Linked DNA regions of Stegostoma tigrinum. The protein of the gene in region 1 purifies or fractionates together with the protein of each later gene. This does not show direct contact. Links are inferred from orthologs where the notes say so. Each region holds a gene or a part of one and is shown in the gene's direction. Other genes may lie near its edges.

The links.
Region 2: the proteins of ndufaf5 (region 1) and ndufaf8 purify together in Homo sapiens (affinity purification with mass spectrometry; 3 studies listed by BioGRID and IntAct, counting the BioPlex papers as one, with this or other methods). This does not show direct contact. The link is inferred for Stegostoma tigrinum from reciprocal best matches to the Homo sapiens genes NDUFAF5 and NDUFAF8.

Annotation. Positions count from the first base shown.
Region 1 is NC_081362.1:6,034,070-6,041,739, reverse strand, and holds the start of ndufaf5 (arginine-hydroxylase NDUFAF5, mitochondrial), read left to right. Parts: upstream 1-4,585; 5' UTR 4,586-4,816; coding exon 4,817-5,032; intron 5,033-7,358; coding exon 7,359-7,399; intron 7,400-7,577; coding exon 7,578-7,641; intron 7,642-7,670. Other genes in the region: ESF1 homolog, read right to left, coding at 532-644. UniProt on the Homo sapiens protein: Arginine hydroxylase that mediates hydroxylation of 'Arg-111' of NDUFS7 and is involved in the assembly of mitochondrial NADH:ubiquinone oxidoreductase complex (complex I, MT-ND1) at early stages. May also have methyltransferase activity.
Region 2 is NC_081375.1:24,522,811-24,530,613, reverse strand, and holds the start of ndufaf8 (NADH dehydrogenase [ubiquinone] 1 alpha subcomplex assembly factor 8), read left to right. Parts: upstream 1-4,742; 5' UTR 4,743-4,769; coding exon 4,770-4,868; intron 4,869-7,803. Other genes in the region: AP-4 complex accessory subunit Tepsin, read right to left, coding at 4,620-4,658. UniProt on the Homo sapiens protein: Involved in the assembly of mitochondrial NADH:ubiquinone oxidoreductase complex (complex I, MT-ND1). Required to stabilize NDUFAF5.

The DNA of each region.
Region 1 (7,670 bases):
ACCTGACCTGCTGAAAATTTGCTAATGTTTTTGGTATTGATTGTTTTTTTGTACTGTTGGTCATTGGCTATAATTGGAGCTGGAACAACATTTGATGGTTTCTCTGTTACAGAACAAACTATTCCGTTAATTCTCCAGTGTAAAATTTGGGATTGCCTTGTCAAATCATGTTCTGCTTATTTTATATTAACTATTGCTCTCATGACCCTTATGAGATGCAGGAATTGACCATTTCCATCATCCACTCCTGCCTTAGCATATCCTCACCTATGCTCTCCCTACCTCCGGGCCTAACTGTTCCCAATGCACACCTAACCAACCTTCCAGCTCTTCTAAGTAGCTGCTCCTACCAGGCCTGCTATCAATGGCACGTTATGATCCTCCTTCCAACTCCAGCTTCACACACCTGCAATTGATCTACGCCATCCATCTTCTAACTATGCCTTGGCTTATGCGTCTTTCTGCTGCCCTTGAGGAGCAAGCTTGGTAGCTTCTCAGTTCAGATTAAGGCACCAAAATGCCAATATTTACCTCATGTCAATTTTTTTTAAAAGAGTTCCTTTAGCTCTTGCAGTTCCAAGTGCCTCTTCATTTATCTGACGGTCAGTACAGGGTATTTTTAACAAACACCTCAGCACCCACATTTCAAAGGCTCAAAGAATTCCTCAACAACGTGAAGGACACCCGGATAGAAGAGGACTGGGTGATGATATCCTTCAACGTAACAGCACCATTTACATCCATAAACATCAATCTAGCCAAAGAATCAGCTGCCACACTGCTGAACAAATCAAGTAAGCAGACAACCCAGGACACCACCAACATCAAAAAGGACACCACCATGAAACTACTAGATCTGCACCTCACGATCTACATCACCTTCAACGACAGCACATACAAAGAAAAAAACGGAACACCAATGGGATCCTCAATATCAGGACTGATTGCAGAAGCAGTAATGCAAAGATTAAAATGGACAGCACCATTATACAATCAAACTTTGGGACCGATATGTAGATGATACCTTCATGATTATCAAATGCACAAAACTAGAAGAAACCACTGACACATAAACAACATCCTCATCGGGATAAAATTCACAAAAGACAATGACAACAACAATGGACTACCCTTCCTGGACATAATAGTAGAATGCAAAAACAGCAAGGAACTCTAGACTATTGTATATGGAAAGACCACACATACAGACCAGATACTCAACTACACGAGCAACCACCCCAACACCCACAAACAGAGTGGCATCACGACACTATGTAAACGAGCCACGACACAGCAACCTGGAAATATGCAAAGCAGAACAGGAACACCCATACGGAGCCTTCAAAAGGAATGGATACTCAAAAAGCACAATCTGCTACTACCTCCGAGACAGACCAGAACAGGAAGACACAACACGGCCAGACTCTCAAATCACCCTACCACACATCAAGGACATTTCAGAGATGACCAGCAGAGTTCTTAGACCCCGACGAATCACGGCAGCCCAAACTGACAACCACCCTACGACAGCTACTGACGAACTTAATGGATCCCATACCCAAAACCAGCAAAACCAACGTACTATACAAAGTAAAAACCAAAAGAACTGCGGCTGCTGTAAATCAGGAACAAAAACAAAATTGTTGGGAAAGCCCAGCAGGTCTGGCAGCATCCGTGAACGAAAAAAACAGAGTTAACGTTTCAGGTCCGAGGAAGAGTCACTGGACCAGAGAAGTTAACTCTGTTTTTTCCTTTCACAGATGCCACCAGGCCTGCTGTACTATACAAAATAGCATGTAAGGACTGTGAGAAACACTACTTAGGCCAAGCCGAAAGAAAACTGACAATAAGGAATATACACACACCAACTAGCCACCAAGAGACATGACCAATTCTCATTTGCCTCACTACACACAGACGAGGGACACAAATTCAACTGGGACAACACAGCGATAATCACACAAGCCAAACAGAGACACGCCAGGGAATTCCTGAAGGCCTGGTATTCCAACCGGAACTCCACCAACAAGCACACTGATTTAGGTCCTGTGTACAAACTACTGAGAAACAGAACTGGAAACAAAACCAACCATCCCAGCAAACTGAGGGAGATAAATAACAAGCAGGACAGAACACCGATGCTTCACCAGAGGCACACCGACGATGTTACCTAGCAGGGTGAAGAAACGTTTGCAACCAAACCCACCAGCTCAGTGAGCATGTCTACAACCTTATCCTTGACTATCTCTACCCTTTTCTAATTTCTGAATTGCATCTGCTATCTTGTTATTATTCATTCAAAACAATTTACAAATTCTTCCAGTCTAACACCACCCACTTCAACCTTCGTATTAATGTCTAAAATTAAGATCATTCAAAATTCTACTCCCATGTCCATATTGTTGTTTTATGTCTGAAGGTGACACTTTCAGTTACACCATCATTTTCACACGTAACCTGAGAGTAAAAAAATCTTATACTCCATCTTACCCCCGGGTCACTTGAAGCATGAGATTCTTCTGCAAACTTGTCTAATGTTACAATTAATAGCTTAATTTGCATACTTAGGCGTGAATGTAATGTTTATACATAGTGTTTGAGTTACAGGGAGAGGCGAGGTAGGCTGGGGCTTTTCCCCCCAGAGTGTCAGTGGCTGAGGGGGTGACATTATTGAGGTTTATTACATCAAGAGGGGCATGGATTAGGTAAATAGCCAAAGTCTTTATATTTTACCCTAGAGGGTATGGGTTTATGAAGGGAAATATTGTAAAGGGACCAGAGGGATAACTTTTTCACACAGAAGATGGTGCGTGTATGGAATGAGCTGCCCGTGGAAGTGATGGAAGCTGATACAATTACAACATTTAAAAGGCATCTGGATGTGTACATAATAAGGCGGCTTGAGAGGGATATGGCCAAATGCTGACAAATGGGACGAGGTCAGATTGGGATATCTGGTCGGGAGGGACGAGTCGGATTGAAGAATCTGCTTCCGTGCTGTATGACCCTATGATAGTTAGAGTAAATGTCTGTTCGAATCTTCAACATCATCATATCCACAGCCAGTTCTTCTATTTTGCAGAGCACAACACTGGCTTTGCCGCATCAGGCTGGGGGCTAAACTAGAGTACCATAAGGTGAAGTAGCAGAAACTAGCAGGGCGGCACAGTGGCTCAGTGGTTAGCACTGCAGCCTCACAGTGCAAGGGACCCGGGTTCGATTCCAGCCTTGGGTAACTGTCTGTGCAGAGTTTGCACATTCTCCCCGTGTCCGCGCGGGTTTCCTCCGGGTGCTCCGGTTTCCTCCCACAGTCCAAAGATGTGCAGGCTAGGTGGATCAGCTATGCTAAATTGCCCGTAGTATTCAGGGGTGTGTGGGTTATAGGGGGGATGCTCCAAGGGGCGGTGTGGACTTGTTGGGGCGAACGGCCTGCTTCCACACTGCAGGGAATCTAATGCAACCCATCAAAGTCTGCTCAACCATTCAATGAATCATGACTGGTCTGACAACCCTCAGCTGAGGCAGCAAGTACTATCTCAAACAACTTTCTCACTTTTGTTTTCAAATATCACTCACATCACCTCCTGAGATCTCTGCAGCCAAGCCCTTTGGCCCAACTCGCCTATGCCAACCATGTCTCCTAAGCGAAACCAGTCCCCTTTAACCGGTGTTTGGCCTCTATCCCTCTAATTCTTTCATATCTATGTAGCTGTCCAAATGCCCTTTAAATAGACCCCACCACTTACACGTTCACTCTTACAGTTAATTGTGCGGGCCCTGGAGGGTGAACCTTCGGTTCAGACCGGGATAGCAATCTGGCAGCACCAGATTTAATCACATTTCCCCAAACGACCCCGGACAGCCTCGGGGAGAGGGGGTGTTCGAACCCACCACCACGGGCTCACCAGATGCCGACACTACCGGATGTGAGTTTGCTCGCTGAGCTGGAAGGTTAGTTTTCAGACGTTTTGTCACCATTCTAGGTAACATCAGTGAGCCTCCGACGAAGCGCTGGTGTTATGTCCTGCTTTCTATTTATCTGGTTAGGTTTCCTTGGGTTGGTGATGTCATTTCCTGTGTTGATGTCATTTCCTGCATTGGTGATGCCATTTCCGGTTCTTTTTCTCAGGGGATGGTAGATTGGCTCCAAATCGTGTTTGTTGATGGAGTTCCGGTTGGAATGCCATGCTTCTAGGAATTCTTGTGCGTGTCTCTGTTTGGCTTGTCCTAGGATGGATGTGTTGTCCCAATCAAAGTGGTGTCCTTCCTCATCTGTATGTAAGGATACGAGTGATAGTGGGTTATGTTGTATCCTTACACTATCACTCGTATCCTTACATTCAGAACCTCAACCTGAGCTACAAATCTTCTCAAAACTCGCTAGCTGACACTACCGCTTGGCCAAGCAACAGGTAACCAGCTGGCAGAGCGCGTGTACCCACCTCCGATCCGCGTGCGTCCCCTTGGCCAGTGCCCCGTGACCCTTCACCTCCACCTGGGGGCGTGGTCAAGCTCGCGGGCTCCCCGTTGAATGGTAGCGGAAGGAGAGTGGGGGGGGGGCACAATTTTCAGCTCCGCTCGACATCATCGGGCGCCGACGACTTCTCCACATAACGCCCCCCCCCATCCTACCCGGGCCGAATGGTTCGGTCGGAGCCGACTGGCGCATGCGCTCTGTGGTAGTTCCGGCGGCTTGGGCTCCTTCTAGTCGGTTGGAGCCCTCGGGGAGTGGGAGAGAAAGGGACGAAAGGAAGAAGGGAACCGTCAATGGAGCGCGTTCCGCGGCCTTTCCCCCTTCGCTAGGGGCCCCGGGAAGATGAGCGGGATTCCGTGCCGACTCCGGCGCCTCCTCTCTCTCTCCAGCCTCGGCTGCCCTCCGGGCTCCGGGAGCATCGCCCACCTCGGGTGGCGGCGCTGGTCATCGAGATCGGAGAGCCCGATGAACGTGTTTGACAGAAAGATGAAGCGGCGGCAGAAAAACTGGGCGTCCTCCATCCCCGGGAGCGAGAGATATGATTATCTGAAGGAGGAGGTTAGCACATTGAGAGTTCACCACGTTTAATAACGATATGAAGGCATTTAAAACCAGTAGCGCAGGCTGATAGCTTGTTGCTTGGTGTAAGTTATGCACTCATTACAAATGAGGCCATTTAGCCCCTCCGACATGTTTCTGGCATTCACTGGGATCGGGACAGATTTGTATCTCAACTCCTCGTTCAGTCGTGGCATGCAGACTTTACAGATAAGATCAGTAATTATAGTTCGTACCGAACTGCCCTTCAGTGTCTCACTCAGCCATTTCAAAGGCTAGTTAAAAGACTTGGGTCAATCTCACTGCTAAACATCTGGAATCATATGCCCTTAAATCAAGTCCTGTTTGCCTTTCAGCACGCTATTAAACCTCATAGAATCCCTACAGTGTGGGAACAGGCCCGTCGGCCCAATGGGTTCATACTGACCCTCTGAGGAGCATTCTGCCCAGGCCAAATCCCTGCCCTTTCCTTGTAACCCTGCATTTCCTGTGCCTGATATACATCCTAATCTACACATGCCTGGACACTGAGGGCAATTTAGCGTGGGCAATCCACCTAACCTCTACCTTTTTGGACTCTGGGAGGAAACCGGAGCACCTGAAGGAAACCCACACAGACACAAGGAGAATGTGCAAACCCTACACAGACGGTCACCTGAGCGTGGAATTGAACCCGGTTCCCTGGTGCTGTGAGGCAACAGTGCTAACCACTGAGCCATCGTTGCTGCCTTCATTGACTCCCAATCAAGCACTGGCCTCAATTTTTAAAATGTCCTCAAATCCGTCCATACCCTTGATCTTCCGTATCTGTGGAACCTCTTCTGGATCCAAACCCCCTGTGTCCCTCTCAGCCCTTTGAGCATCCCTGATTTCAGACACTTCACTATTAAGTGGGTATGCCTTCAGCTGTCTGGTCCCTAAGCTCTGGAATTCATTCTGTAGCGCTCTCCTTGTAAGGCACTTATTAAAGCATGCCTCTTTGGCCCAGGTTTAGGTCACATCATCTGAAAAATCATAAGCAGTAGGAGCAACAGTAGTCCATTAAAGCCTGCCCCACCAGTCTACAAAATCGTGACTGATCTGCCCTAGGCTTCAAATCCTCTTTCTCATAGCCCTCTACCCCTCTGTTTTTTTTTTAAATCTATCTATCTCCTCTTTAAATACTTTCTGTGATCTACTTCAACTCTCGGGTAGAGAATTCCAGATATTAACTACTGTCTAGGAGAAGTTCCTTCCCATCTCAATTTAAATGGGTGTACTGTTATTCTTTAATTATATCCTGTAACTTGAGATTTCCCCACTAGTGGAAATTCATCCCAGCACCTACCTGTCAAGCCCCTCAAAATCTTGTATGTTTCACTGAGATCACCCCTCATTCTTGTAAACTGTACTGAATAAAGGCCCAACCTGTTGAGCCATTTTCAATAAGTCAGCCCTTTTATCCTTGTCTAGTGAATCTCTTTCGAACTCCTCCAATGTCAAAACATCAGTTTTTAAATGCAAGGATCAAAACTGTACACAGTACTGCAGATATAGCCTCACTAACACCCTGTACAGTTACAACAAAACTTCCTGATTGTTTTAAACTCAATCCCCTCACATTGAAGACCAGAATTCCATTTGCCGCCTTAAATACTTGCTGTACCTGCAAGATAACTTTTTGTTATGTTCAAAAGAACAACTACGTGCCTCTGTGCTCTTTGAGAGCTTCTCTGCTCAATTTAAACAATAGTCTGCCTTTTGAGTAAATCCTTATGTAGCTCGGTGTCATATTTTGTCTTAATGCTCATGTGATACTTCATTCTGTTAAAGGCATTATGTAAATACAAGCTGCTTTACTCTCTGATACCCTTGGGTTGTTCTGTTTTAAAATATGACTATAGTTTTGATGCTGTTCTGATCATAACTGAAAGTAACATTCTGTTAGGAGTAGGGATACTTGACCCATTGAGTTTGCTCCACCAGATCTAGCCTTAACCCCCACTTCCTGCACTGTAGAAGCAGATATAAAATATTCTGTTGGGACATACCTGATCTCAACGTTTCTAATTTTGAGACATCATCAGCTGAGTTCGCATCTGGCGGAGATGGACGGACTCGCATCTACCCATTTCACAAAAACCTGGAAGGGGTGAAGTGGGGGTGGGATTCATTGTATAAAGCCAATAAGAGAGGAACAGGCCATTTGGCACCTCAAGTCTTGTTCTGCCATTCAGTCAGATCATGGCTGATCGATTACAAAGCAAACTGTTTCTTTATATTTAAGTTGCAGTCATGAGATATCTTTTTATGTCCTCTAGATCACAATAATTTTGCAATTGTGCAGGTTGGAAGCAGAGTTGTGGACCGTGTTTTTGATATTGTAAGGTAAGTTTGAGACCATTGTGTTATCTCTTCTGTAAGGACTCGTTTAGTATTTCCTTTATCTGCAGTGTATTCAACCTTTTAATCATTCTCTCTCTTCCAGTTTAAATGCTAGCACAATGTTCTGCAAAAGAATGCTGGAAATTTTATCTGTGTGTGATTTCACTTTGTTTTGCTTTAGAACCTTTCCCCTTGCATTGGACATTGGGTGCGGAAAAGGCTATATAGCAGAAAATCTAAACAAGGTAACATTACCTCAGATGGTGGCAAATAT
Region 2 (7,803 bases), on another chromosome or scaffold:
CCCTCCCCCCTTCGCCCAGCACTCTAAACCCCCTCCCTCCCTCCCTCACCCACCACAGTCACCCCTCTCCCTCCCTCACCCACACACCACTGTAACCCCCCTCCCTCCCTCACCCACCACTGTAACACCCCTCCCTCCCTCCCTCCCTCGCCCACCGCTCTAACCCCCTCCCACCCCACCTTGCCCACCGCTCTAACACCCCTCTCTACCCACCTCGCCCACCGCTCTAACCGCCCTCCCTCCCCGCCTTGCCCACCGCTCTAACACCCCTCCCTCCCTCCCTCCCCACCTCACCCACCACTCTAACCCCCCTCCCTCCCTCCCTCCCCACCTCGCCCACCGCTCTAACCCCGCTCCCTCCCTCCCTCCCCCCCTCACCCACCGCTCTAACCCCCCTCCCCCCTCGCCCACCGCTCTACCCCCCCTCCCTCCCTCCCTCGCCCACCGCTCTAACCCCCTTCCCTCCCTCCCTCCCCCCCTTGCCCACCGCTCTAACACCCCTCCCTCCTGCCCTCGTCCACCGCTCTAACCCCCCTCCCTCCCCCTCGCCCACCACTCTAACCCCCCTGCCTCCATCCCCCCTCGCCCACCACTCTAACCCCCCTGCCTCCCTCCCCCCTCGCCCACCACTCTAACCCCCCTGCCTCCATCCCCCCTCGCCCACCACTCTAACCCCCCTGCCTCCCTCCCCCCTCGCCCACCACTCTAACCCCCCTGCCTCCATCCCCCCTCGCCCACCACTCTAACCCCCCTGCCTCCCTCCCCCCTCGCCCACCACTCTAACCCCCCTGCCTCCCTCCCCCCTTCGCCCAGCACTCTAAACCCCCTCCCTCCCTCCCTCACCCACCACAGTCACCCCCCTCCCTCCCTCACCCACACACCACTGTAACCCCCCTCCCTCCCTCACCCACCACTGTAACACCCCTCCCTCCCTCCCTCGCCCACCGCTCTAACCCCCTCCCACCCCACCTTGCCCACCGCTCTAACACCCCTCCCTACCCCCCTCGCCCACCGCTCTAACCCCCCTCGCCCACCGGTCTAACCCCCCCTCCTCACTCCCTCCCCCCTCGCCCACCGCTCTAACTCCCCTCCCTCCCGCCCTTGCCCACCACTCTAACCCCCCCTCCCCCCCGCCCACCACCCTAACCCCCCTCCTTCCCTCACCCACCACTGTAATCCCCCTCCCTCCCTCACCCGCCCACCACTCTAACCCCCCTCCCTCCCGCCCTTGCCCACCACTCTAACCCCCCTCCCTCCCGCCCTTGCCCACCACTCTAACCCCCCCTCCCCCCCGCCCACCACCCTAACCCCCCTCCCTCCCTCACCCACCACTGTAATCCCCCTCCCTCAACCACCACTCTAACACCCCACCCTCCCTCCCTCACCCACCACTGTAACCCCCCTCCCTCCCTCCTTCACCCACCACTCTAACCCCCCTCCCTCCCTCCCTCACCCACCACTCTAACCCCCTCCCTCACCCACCCCCCACTGTAAGTCCCCTCCCTCACCCACCCACCCACCCACCACTCTAACCCCCCTCCCTCCCTCCCTCCCTCCCTCACCCACCACTCTAACACCCCTCCCTCCCTCCCTCACCCACCCACCACTGTAACCCCCCCTCCCTCCCTCACCCACCCACCCACCACTCTAACCCCCCTCCCACCCTCACCCACCCACCACTGTAACCCCCCTCCCTCCCTCACCCACCCACCACTCTAACCCCCCTCCCTCACCCACCCACCACTGTAACCCCCCTCCCTCCCTCACCCACCACTGTAACCCCCCTCCCTCCCACACCCACCCACCACTCTAACCCCCCTCCCACCCTCACCCACCCACCACTGTAACCCCCCTCCCTCCCTCCCTCACCCACCCACCACTGTAACCCCCCTCCCTCCCCCCCCCACCCACCACTCTGATCCCCCCACCCACCCACCACTCTGATCCCCCTCCCTCCCCCCCCACCCACCCCTCTGATCCCCCTCCCTCCCCCCCCACCCACCCCTCTGATCCCCCTCCCTCCCCCCCCACCCCTCTGATCCCCCTCCCTCCCCCCCCACCCACCCACCACTCTGATCCCCCTCCCTCCCCCCCACCCGCCACTCTGATCCCCCCACCCACCCACCCACCAACCACTCTGATCCCCGTCCCTCCCCCCCCACCCACCACTCTGATCCCCCCACCCACCCACCCACCACTCTGATCCCCCTCCCTCCCTCCCCCCCCACCCACCACTCTGATCCCCCTCCCTCCCCCCCCACCCACCACTCTGATCCCCCTCCCTCCCCCCCCACCCACCCCTCTGATCCCCCTCCCTCCCCCCCCACCCACCCACCACTCTGATCCCCCTCCCTCCCCCCCCACCCGCCCCTCTGATCCCCCTCCCTCCCCCCCCACCCGCCCCTCTGATCCCCCTCCCTCCCTCCCCCCCCACCCGCCACTCTGATCCCCCCACCCACCCACCCACCACTCTGATCCCCGTCCCTCCCCCCCCACCCGCCACTCTGATCCCCCTCCCTCCCTCCCTCCCCCCCCACCCACCACTCTGATCCCCCTCCCTCCCACCCACCCACCCACCCACCACTCTGATCCCCCTCCCTCCCTCCCCCCCACCCACCCACCACTCTGATCCCCCTCCCTCCCTCCCCCCCCACCCACCCACCACTCTGATCCCCCTCCCTCCCTCCCCCCCACCCACCCACCACTCTGATCCCCCTCCCTCCCTCCCCCCCCACCCACCCACCACTCTGATCCCCCTCCCTCCCTCCCCCCCCACCCACCCACCACTCTGATCCCCCTCCCTCCCTCCCCCCCACCACTCTGATCCCCCTCCCCCCCCACCACTCTGATCCCCCTCCCTCCCTCCCCCCCCACCCACCCACCCACCACTCTGATCCCCCTCCCTCCCTCCCTCCCCCCCCCCACCCACCACTCTGATCCCCCTCCCTCCCTCCCTCCCCCCCCCACCCACCACTCTGATCCCCCTCCCTCCCTCCCTCCCCCCCCCACCCACCACTCTGATCCCCCTCCCTCCCTCCCTCCCCCCCCCACCCACCACTCTGATCCCCCTCCCTCCCTCCCTCCCCCCCCCCACCCACCACTCTGATCCCCCTCCCTCCCTCCCTCCCCCCCCACCCACCACTCTGATCCCCCTCCCTCCCTCCCTCCCCCCCCCACCCACCACTCTGATCCCCCTCCCTCCCTCCCTCCCCCCCCCCACCCACCACTCTGATCCCCCTCCCTCCCTCCCTCCCCCCCCCACCCACCACTCTGATCCCCCTCCCTCCCTCCCTCCCCCCCCCACCCACCACTCTGATCCCCCTCCCTCCCTCCCTCCCTCCCCCCCCCACCCACCACTCTGATCCCCCTCCCTCCCTCCCTCCCCCCCCACCCACCACTCTGATCCCCCTCCCTCCCTCCCTCCCCCCCCCACCCACCACTCTGATCCCCCTCCCTCCCTCCCTCCCCCCCCCACCCACCACTCTGATCCCCCTCCCTCCCTCCCTCCCCCCCCCACCCACCACTCTGATCCCCCTCCCTCCCTCCCTCCCCCTCCCTCCCTCCCTCCCTCCCCCTCCCTCCCTCCCTCCCCCCCCCCACCCACCACTCTGTTCTCCCTCCCTCCCTCCCTCCCCCCCCACCCCCCCACCCCCCCACCCACCACTCTGTTCTCCCTCCCACCCTCCCCCCCACCCTCCCCCCCACCCTCCCCCCCCCCCTCCCCCCCCACCCCCCCACCCTCCCCCCCCCCTCCCCCCCCACCCCCCCACCCACCACTCTGTTCTCCCTCCCACCCTCCCCCCCACCCTCCCCCCCCACCCACCACTCTGTTCTCCCTCCCACCCTCCCCCCCACCCTCCCCCCCCACCCCCCCACCCACCACTCTGTTCCCCCACCCTCCCCCCCCACCCCCCCACCCACCACTCTGTTCCCCCACCCTCCCCCCCCACCCCCCCACCCCCCCACCCACCACTCTGTTCCCCCACCCTCCCCCCCCACCCCCCCACCCACCACTCTGTTCCCCCTCCCTCCCTCCCCCCCCCACCCACCCACCACTCTGTTCCCCCTCCCTCCCTCCCCCCCCACCCACCCACCACTCTGTTCCCCCTCCCTCCCTCCCCCCCCACCCACCACTCTGTTCCCCCTCCCTCCCTCCCCCCCCACCCACCACTCTGTTCTCCCTCCCTCCCCCCCACCCACCACTCTGATCCCCCTCCCCCCCACCCACCACTCTGATCCCCCTCCCCCCCCACCCACCACTCTGATCTCCCTCCCCCCCCACCCACCACTCTGATCTCCCTCCCCACCCACCCACCAACCACTCTGATCTCCCTCCCTCCCCCACCCACCCACCCACCCACCACTCTGATCCCCCTCCCTCCCTCCCTCCCCCACCCACCCACCCACCACTCTGATCCCCCTCCCTCCCCCACCCACCACTCTGATCCCCCTCCCTCACCCACCCACCACTCTGATCCCCCTCCCTCACCCACCCACCAACCACTCTAACCCCCCCTCCCTCACCCACCACTCTAACTAACTAACTAACCTACCTACCTCCCTCCCTCCCTCTCTCCACCTCCACCATTCTAACCCCCCCCCCTACGTTCTCCGCTCACCCGCTGCATGAAGCCCACTTTCTCCCCGATTGTTGCCATCGTCCCGCCTCCTTTGACGGACAACCGCCGCTGTCCAATGGATAGCCGCTTCGCCGACCTCGTGCGTCCATTCGGGGGCGGCGGTCGGCGGAATCACGTCACGGAGTCAAGATGGCCGCGCCCAGGGCGATGCCGCGGACGGAGGTTTGGAGCCGCACTCGGGAAAAGCTCAGGAGCTTTCCACATTTTATGGCAGCGTGTGCCGCGGAGGTCAGTTCGTATCTTATTTTAATCCTGTTCAGGTATTGCCTTATCGAACACTCTACCGGAATTGTGTGTCTGTTTTGCAGCAGAATTATACATGGATTTTTCAAGTGACCTCGCTGTAAACCGGTCTTGGGCAGATGGAGGTCAAAAGGGACAGAGCAGACAGCTGTTTCCCAAAGGGGGAGCAATGGAGGTAGAGGCAGTGGGCAGAGTTCTCCGAAGTAGGGCTAAGGTGGCCGACTGGGATTGGACTATGGAAAGATGCACATCGAGCCCAAATCATCACATCAAACCACTGCCAGATGTGGGAGATTGTAAGTCTGGAGGAGTTTGAGCGAAAGGAGACGTGTAAACCATCAAGTTGGGCGTTGTGACAGGTAGCCTTTGGTTCTATAGTGTAATGTAAGTGCCCCCAGCTCTGAAGATGCTGCCGGATCAGCTGAGTTTCTCCAAATTTTCGGTTTTTGGTTCAGATTTCCAGTATCTGCAGTTCTCTTTTTGCATTTTTGCTTCCTTTTTGACTGAGTGCTGGAGCAGACTGTGTTGTTAAGTTGAAGAAGTTCGTCCTGGTGATGTCCAAGATGTTGATGGCTGAAGCCAAGTACTTAATTTCTGAAGAAAGGGGGTTCTAGGCCCGAAACGTCAGCTTTCCTGTGCCTCTGATCTGCTTGGCCTGCTGTGTTCGTCCAGCTCTACACCTTGTTATCTCAGATTCTCCAGCATCTACAGTTCTTACTCTCTCTGAAACACTTTATTGAATGGTGCCTTTTTATTTGCAACTTCTGACTTCATAGAAATCAGCGGTGCAGTAGGAGGATGATGCCTTTGGGGCTGTGGATTTTGTTGAGGGACTGAAAATTGTGTTTTCTGCTTTCCACCAGTGTTCAATTGGAGGAAAATGTATGCAGACAACAAAGGCCTGGTCAGAGGTTTGATAAAAGTAGAGCTGGGTGTCATGAGAGTACATTTGGAGACTGACCATTAGTCTCTAGGCGATAAGGCTGAAAAGCTGGCACCGAAGACTGTGTAGAGAAGGGGCTGATGATACATGGTTGGATGACTGTGCAGGTTAAAGTGCTGTCTTGACTAGAGAAACAATTATTTTACAATAAAGAAATAAACATCTCCATGCCATACAACGTTGTCAGCAAAACTTACGGAATGATGTAAAAACCAAAAGAACTGCAGATGCTGTGAATCAGAACAAAAACAAAGTTGCTGGAGAAGCTCAGCAGGTCTGGCAGCATCTGGGAAGGCAAAAGAAAAGTTAATGTTTCAGGACTGATGACCTTCCTCTCAACTGTTGGTAGATGGGAAAACGTCAGTTTATCTGCAGAAAATAGTGAGGTGGGTGGGTTAGGGAGTAAACGATGGGATAGAGCCCAAAGAGAGAGAGACAGTGGAACAGACAAAGGAATTACCAATGATCAGGCTGGGAGGGTGAATAGTTGTTAATGGGGACTGTTAATGACTAACAACAGTGGGTATGTAATGGCAGGCTTTGTGGTAACAAGGCCTGGTGTGTGGGGTAGGCAGGTGGGACATGGGAGGGTTTAGGCCATAAAATTATTGAATGTAGCTTCCTCTACATTGGGGAAAGAAGCGTACACTTGGCAACTGTTTCGCAGAACATCTATGTTCTGCTCGCAAGAAAGACTCTGAGCTACTTGTTGCCTGCCACTTCAACGCACCACCCTGCTCCCTGGCTAACATCTCTGTCTCTCGCTTGCTGCAGTGTTCCAACGAAGCCCAATGCAAGTTGGAGGAACAACATCTCATTTTCTGCTTGGGGACCCAGAGCCCTCCAGACTCAATATTGAGTTCAATAATTTTAGGGCCTAAACTCTCCCATGTCCCAGCCCCCCACCCCACACACCTGTCCTTGTTACCACATAGCCTGCCATTACACACCCTCTGTAGTTAGTCACTAACAGTCCCCATTAACAACTATTCACCCTCCCAGCTTGATCGTTAGTAACTCCTTTATCTGTCTAACAATTTTTTTCTCTCTTTTGTGCTCTATCCTATCGTTTGCCCCCTACCCCACCCACCTTCCTATTTTCTGCATAAAAACTGATATTTTCTCGCCACTGTCAGTTCTGAGGAAGGATCACCGGACCCAAAGTGTTAACTCTGATTTTACCTTCCCTGATGCTGCCAGACTTGCTGAGCTTCTGCAGCAAATTTGTTTGTGTTAGGGAATAACGTGCTACTCTTGGACACTTTTCAGTTCTCTAGTGTGAACTTGCAAGTGTCAGACATTTTTTTCCCCTCTTACTTGGACTGGCGATCCTACTTCCCTCACTCTTCAACTGAACTGCTTAATTATTCGTCACATAGAATTGCTGAATCCATACAGTGTGGAATCAGGCTATTCAGCCCATCAAATCACCACCACCCCTCTGAGAAGAGCATCCCACCCAGACTGACCGCCTACCCTGACTCCATAACTCCACATTTCCCATGGTTAATCCAACTAGCTTGCACATCCCTGGATACCAAAGTATGTAGCTGGATGAACACAGCAGGCCAAGCAGCATCTCAGGAGCCCAAAAGCTGACGTTTCGGGCCTAGACCCTTCATCAGAGAGGGGGATGGGGAGAGGGTTCTGAAATAAAAGGGTCTAGGCCCAAAATGTCAGCTTTTGTGCTCCTGAGATGCTGCTTGGCCTGCTGTGTTCATCCAGCTCCACACTTTGGTATCTTGGATTCTCCAGCATCTGCAGTTCCCATGATCTCTGCTCACATCCCTGGTCACTATGGGGTGTTTAGTCTGGTTAATCCATCTAACCTGCACATCTTTGGGCTATGGGAGGAAACACACAGATATGGGGAGTATGTGCAAACTCCACATAGACAGTTGCTCAAGGGTGTAATTGAACCTGGGACCCTGGCACTGTGAGGCAGTGCTAACCAATTGCGAAATGATCCACATATGT